Linked DNA regions of Nothobranchius furzeri. The protein of the gene in region 1 binds, or shares a complex with, the protein of each later gene. Links are inferred from orthologs where the notes say so. Each region holds a gene or a part of one and is shown in the gene's direction. Other genes may lie near its edges.

Region 1 (3,932 bases):
GTTTTCCTTCGTTTGAAAAACTGGAGAGGATTCAGAAGTCTTTCATCCACAGCAGTTAAAAGTGAAGTCCAGCACGTTGTTCTGGTGCGTGTGTGTAGGTCGGTGTAGGTCCAGGGCAGGAAACCTGACGGCCTGGTTGGAAACTACTAGAAGCTTCCTGGATGAGAAGCCACACGTCTTCAAGGGAAACAAGAAGAGTCCTGTTAATTCTAACGAAACTTTCAAGATTGTAGTTTTAGTAACTAAAGCACATTTTATTTATATAGCACTTATCAGAGTCACAAAGTGCTTCACATAGATCAAAGCAAAACAGTGTTCGCTAACAGAAATGGATTCACATCAGAAAAGTAAAACAAAAAAAAGATGATTAGAAATTCGGGGGGGGGGGGGGGCGTGTTTTTAGTTTCCTTCTATAGGAGGATCTTTTGTGACAGCAGTGCTTTACCGGGACTTTTTTCCACGTTACGATGACTACCGGTAGTCTTTCCGGTCATTTATTAGGAGAAATCTCCGAGATTTATAAAAGAATCATTTGCCAGCCATCCTGTGTGTGTGTGTGTGTGTGTGTGTGTGTGTGTGTGTGTGTGTGTGTGTGTGTGTTCGTTCGTTCTGTCTTTTCCATCCCCAGTGAGTCGTGGTGGATGGCTGCTTATACTGAGCCAGGATCCTCTGGAGGTTTCTTCCTGTTAAAAGGGAGTTTTCCTCTCCACTTTCGCTGCATGCTTGCTTAGTATGAGGATTGCTGTAAAGACTCTGACACTAGTCAGTGACTCGATGCAACCTGCTGGGTTCCTTATATAGGAAACTTGTTACTGATTGGCTTAATGTACTGACCTGTACTGGAATGTTTACTGTGTGCAGGCCCATGAGACGACTCTGATCGTGATTTGGCGTTTTATAAATAAATTGAATTGAATTGTTTGGAAGCGCGCCACGCATACAGCGCCATCAGCTCAGACAAGAGGAGAGAATAAAGAGACTCACACTGACGTTTTCAGCTGTCCCAGAGCTCATATGGGCCTTAAAAACGTTCACCAAGAATCAAAACTTTTTCTAGTTTGATGATAAAAGTTCTGCTGATTCAGAGAATGGCCAGCTGGACCGGGAGGTCGGTAGATTAAAACACACTGAATACATTTGGTGACCTGACATTCAAAAGTATTAAAGGGGCCATTTTTCACCAGATTAGACATGTTTGTCCTTAAAGACCACCACAAGACCTGCCTCGCCACGTGACGGGCGTGGCGTGGTACACTCAGACTGGAGTAGTGTATTATTATAGTACTAGTGTGTACTCATAAAGATCTATAAAAGTCTTTAGTTCTGAAACTCCTTTTAAACCAAATGGAAGCTGTTGCAGTGGTCGACCACCAGGTGGCGGTAGAGATCGAGTCTTTCTGAGGGATTTAGAAAACGAAGAAGAACCCGGAAGTAAACAATCTTTCAGTACGGGGCTGCGACAATGGTAAGAAATGTCAATTATTTACAAATGAACGCAGTTTTAAACGGACAGGTGTTGTTTTAAAGAGGGCTTTACTTTGTGGTTTGTGTGTTTAAATGTTAGCTTGTTTAAGCTAATTTTAGGTTTTAAGTTTCGTTTATTTTGAACTCATTTTAATGACAAAAATCACGTTTTAAGTCTGTTTACGAAGAGATGGACTGCCTTTTTCTTTCGTTACGTTTTTGTCGGGTTTATTTTTTCCTTTTAAAGTTTATTGTCGTGCTTTTTTAAAGACATGCTGATGTTCGATCCGTCGCCAGTGCTGCGCTGTCCACCCTGTTGTTTTTCACTCAATCAGTGAGACACCCTAATGGAGAGAGAACATTCTGGATTAAATCATTTATTAATCCAAGAGATGAGGACGATAATATAAGGTCTAACATTTTGGGGTAATGATTCATTTGGAAAAAGATATAGATAACTTCATCAAAGTAGAAGGTAATTAAGAATAAAGCGATTTTCTGTTTTTTCTTTTTTTTTTTATCTGCACAGTTAACTAGATAGGAAGAATGATAATTTTCAATCTTTTATATTATACTACTTTTTTACATTTCATTTTTATTTATTTAGTTATTAATTACGATTATTATTTTTTTAATTATTGAATTTATTCAATTTTGTTTAAAGACAGTAAAAAAGTAGTTAATTATTAAGGGGCAGTGGAATATTAGCAAAGCTTAAGGATTCATTAAGGACACAGGGAGCAGGGAAGAGCTAGGCATAATGCCAGTCATTTAAGTTAGCAGATCTTAAAACGGGGATCTGTACATGGTTAAAGTTGGAAGTGGAACATTTGAGTGGGTTACTCAGAAAATGGGTGGGTGGGGTTTTTTGTGTTTTTTCTTAAGAATGGTTTGTTCACTTAAAGTTCGTGTTTTGTGTTCCGTTTTGTTCGTACTCTCAGACAAGTTTAAGCATTTAGAAGTGCATGTGAGGTGTGATGACTCGGGAACTGGAAGTTAAATGTACCTCTTGGAATTGTAGAGGCTTAAAAAGTACTAAAAAGATTAAGCAAGTAATGACCAAAATGAAAGATCTGGAAGCTAAAATAATTTTTCTTCAGGAGACGCACTTGCTGGAGGAGGAACATATTAAGGTTGGCAGGAGGTGGCAAGGTTCGTTGTATGCAGCACCATTTAGATCCAATGCTCGGGGAGTAATCACATTAATACATAAATCAGTACCTTTTCAGGTTAAGAATGTAATCAAAGATAAATTTGGTAGGTATTTGATCATCCAGGGATTACTTATACAAGAAACCATTAACTTAATTAATGTATATGGACCAAATACAGATGATGATGCATTTTTTACTAATCTTTTTCTCACAATTTCATTACTCCAAGGAAAATGCATCATAGGAGGGGATTGGAATTGTGTACTGGATCCCTGTAAGGATAGACCAACTGGGACTGACCAGGCCCATAACAAAAGCCGAAAAACAATTCTTAACTTCATGAAGGAACTTCAGTTGATTGACATCTGGAGACAGTTAAAACCTGACGATATAATTTTTTCCTGCCATTCAAAAACATTTAATACATATTCCAGAATAGATTATTTTTTAGTATCAGCAAGCCTACTATCAAACATAAGGACATGCTCATATGACAGTATATTACTATCGGACCATGCTCCCTGCAATATCATATATACACATAAAAACTTAATAATGGAGCGTAGATGGTGTTTACACCAGAAATGGCTGAATGATGAAGAATTCCTCACTTTTGTAGAAAAAGAAATAGATGAATATTTTACTATAAATGGTTCACAAACATCAGCTAGTATTAGGTGGGAGGCATTTAAGGCATGTTTACGGGGAGTTATAATTGCATATACTTCATCGAAATCTAAAGAAACATGTAAAACAAGACAGCAAATGGAAAAGGAAATTAAAACTCTAGAGGAACTAGTATTCAAAAGTAGAGACCCAGTAACAGAGAAAAAATTGCTAATACTAAAAGCACAATACAATAAAGAATCGGCAGATAGAGCGGCTTCGAACATTTTGAGATTAAATCAGTCTTTTTATGAACAAGGAGAAAAACCTGGAAAAATATTGGCATGGCAAATTAAACAATTGGAAGTGCAGAAAAATATAACATCGATTGTAAGCAGCAAAGGGGAAATGATAATAGACCCGATGGAAATAAATAAGGCGTTTAGAAACTATTATGAAAAACTTTATGAATCTCAGGATAGATCAGATCAAACCTCCAGAAATGCGTTTCTGGATAAAATAAATATTCCTACTATTGCAGATGACTTAAAACAACAATTAGATGCAGAAATCACCGAAGGGGAAATAAGCAGGGCAATTAACAGTATGAGTTCAGGTAAAAAAGCGGGACCAGATGGATTTCCAATTGATTTTTATAAAAAATTTAAAAGTAAATTAGTGAAACCATTATTGGAAATGTATCAGGAA
Region 2 (2,750 bases), on another chromosome or scaffold:
GCCCCCCGTTTGTGCCTAAATTAAACTGTTTTTCAATTCCTCTCTTTGGAAAATACATAAATAGCTTTTAGCGATTGCTAATGGTATCTGATTTTGAAAATGGCTTTCCTAAATCATGAAAGGGATACTGAAAAAGCGTCAGAGGTCTAATATGTGTTAAAAGCTTGTCTGGGAAAGCTCATTAAAGACTCAGTCCAATTACAAACAGTGCTCTTTCTCACAGCTGACTGAATACTGGTCTTAATTCATCACGCTAGTGAAAACTGCACACAGCAGCAAGATCAATAGGGAAGTTTAAATAATTATCAGTCTGGCTGCTGTCATATCACTCCTCTCTGGGGGTCATTAGCTAGTCAAAGAGAGTTTATTTATGTGTTCATCATAAACTGAGTAACTGAATAAATAAGTGCAATTAACATAAATCACTTAATTTCTATGGTGCAACTGAAAGTCGTTTAAAGCTACCATACAGAAACATGAAAAGCTGTATTTTCTAATCAAATTAATGAAGCAGGGAATGTGTGGGGCCTACATTAATCTTGAGAAGAAGTTATAACACTGTCAGGTCCATCTAGCTCAATCCATTATCCATCTGTAGTCCCTTTAACTGCAAAAACAAATATGGAACGAAACCATGTATAACACTTTTAAAATAGTTTCATAAAATGCAAATTCTAATTTTGCAAATGTGAAAGAGTTCAATTATCTTATTTTAATTGAAAAATAAAAAATAATTTGTGTCTTTTGAAAGTTCAAAAATAAAAACAAGATCATTTATATACATTTAGGGAAAATAACACTGTTTAATAAAACGATTAATATAAATAAATGCATTGGAAATTAATGATTAGGCTAAATAAAATGAACAAGTGAATAAAAGATTTTCTTTAAAACTTATAAAAAATTGCTTATTTTATTTTTAGGTTATACAATAAATATAATTCAAAGTTTGTTTGAGTCAAATAAATCGGCTTTTAGCATCTTTTGAGTTGCTTTAACATTTCACTAGTCCTGCTACTACGTTTCCCACAAGGCATCGCGGACTGCAACGTCATTAATCTGCGCAGTGCTGAGGTGGTGTTTGAAAGAAGGTAAACATTCATGTTTATTTGGTCTTTAACGTGATTTAAATAGATGCTTTATATACTACCCTTTTATTTAGTTGCGTTCGCGTCTTTTCAACGAGTGTTTGGTTTATTTTCGTTTCTTGTCGTTTGTTTATTTCTGCGTATTTTAGCTCGATAAGCTAACAGGTTGCTAACACAGTTTTATCTCTCAGGTCGTTTCATAGAGCTTCCGTCATGACGAAACTGATGCAGTGGTTGCTCGGGGCGTCTCTGCTGGGGACAGTTTGGGCTTTGGTTACGTTTGACCTGTTGGAGCTGAGCCTCCCGCGGGTGTACCGGGAGATCGCCTGGCCGATGCCTCTCTACCTGCTGGTGACGTTCGGCTGCTACTCCCTGGCCACGGTGGGATTCCGGGTGGCCACCTTCAACGACTGCGACGAGGCAGCTCGAGAGCTCCAGGAGCAGATCACGGAAGCTAAAGAAGACCTCAGAAAAAAGGGCTTGAAGTTGTAGGACACAAAGACTCAACCCTGTAGAGACCGAGTAGTGAGGACATGTGTTTCACAGCTGGATGGATGAAACTGAACCATCTTCACTAAAATGTGGATAAGAAACTGTGTCACTTATGTTGACGCATCATTTCCAGTTTAATCCTGACAAATCTAATCCAGAGGCTCTTTGGGATTTCCCACGTGCTTTGAGTCAAGCTGATATGTGTTTGCATCGTGTGCATCTGGAGATGTAATGCCCGTACCTGCAGATGGATCCAGATTTAATCTGTAAAGACGTTTACATTCCTTTGTTCAATGCCTTTGAGGTGTTTCAGAAAAATTAATTAAATGGGAATTTATTTTCTAAATGGATTCCTGTTCTTGAGGTTCAGGTATGTCTGTGAAGCACCTTTGTGGCTTTACAAAGGGTTTCCTCTTCAAACGGGTCAGAACAAAGCCCTTTTGGGCTTGGCATTCTGCTTAACCTGTTGGGAGAAGACGGGCCTCTTTTTATCCAATTGTAAGTTTATGACACAAACTATGCATCATGTAATATTTCTCCAAATGCATTTGATTCTAAAAAATCAAATCTGCGTATGTAACTCTGAAGTAATCGATGTTGGCAGTTATATTTCTTTTACGAGCTGTAAAAGGCTGCCTTTGCGTATTTTTCACCAAGTCCCTGCTGTGTGTAAACAAAGCATAGCTTCACCAAAGGCATCATTACGGGGCATCAAACGATCTCATAACTTCTGAACAAATGCAAAAAGAGTTGGCAACTCTGCCTGTTAGGCTGCAGCTCCATCTTGCCTCGCAATGTCCCCCACCCCCACCCCACACACACCCACCCACTGAATCTGTGCAAGCTGTTGCTTGAGCAGACAGGATGAAACACAACTTACTTGAAAATCTTCTAATTTGGCAATTACACCAACAGCAGATCTGTTCCCACTTGCAGCCACATAAAGTTTTTAGTAAACTCTCAGTGTTTCTTTGATTCTCCACTAAAAAAAAACTGATTTGCTCTTTTCTGCAGAAGTATTTGTCCCAGGCTGAACAAAAGTGTAAATATTTTTGGACATTCGTTTTTAATCCCTTATATTGGAAGCGTACAATGCATTAGCTCCCTCCCAGTCTAGTATTTTTAAATAGCAGGTTTAAGTTGATGTAATCTGGTGCATAGACAGAAAAT

What was found.
Region 2: dpm2 (region 1) and dpm3 share a complex: the UniProt entries of both Homo sapiens proteins name them as parts of the dolichol-phosphate mannose (DPM) synthase complex. The link is inferred for Nothobranchius furzeri from reciprocal best matches to the Homo sapiens genes DPM2 and DPM3.

What each region holds. Positions count from the first base shown.
Region 1 is NC_091746.1:70,784,910-70,788,841, reverse strand, and holds the start of dpm2 (dolichol phosphate-mannose biosynthesis regulatory protein), read left to right. Parts: upstream 1-1,362; 5' UTR 1,363-1,462; coding exon 1,463-1,465; intron 1,466-3,932. UniProt on the Homo sapiens protein: Regulates the biosynthesis of dolichol phosphate-mannose. Regulatory subunit of the dolichol-phosphate mannose (DPM) synthase complex; essential for the ER localization and stable expression of DPM1.
Region 2 is NC_091759.1:5,963,392-5,966,141, reverse strand, and holds dpm3 (dolichol-phosphate mannosyltransferase subunit 3), read left to right. Parts: upstream 1-1,033; 5' UTR 1,034-1,091; intron 1,092-1,279; 5' UTR 1,280-1,301; coding exon 1,302-1,580; 3' UTR 1,581-1,926; downstream 1,927-2,750. UniProt on the Homo sapiens protein: Stabilizer subunit of the dolichol-phosphate mannose (DPM) synthase complex; tethers catalytic subunit DPM1 to the endoplasmic reticulum.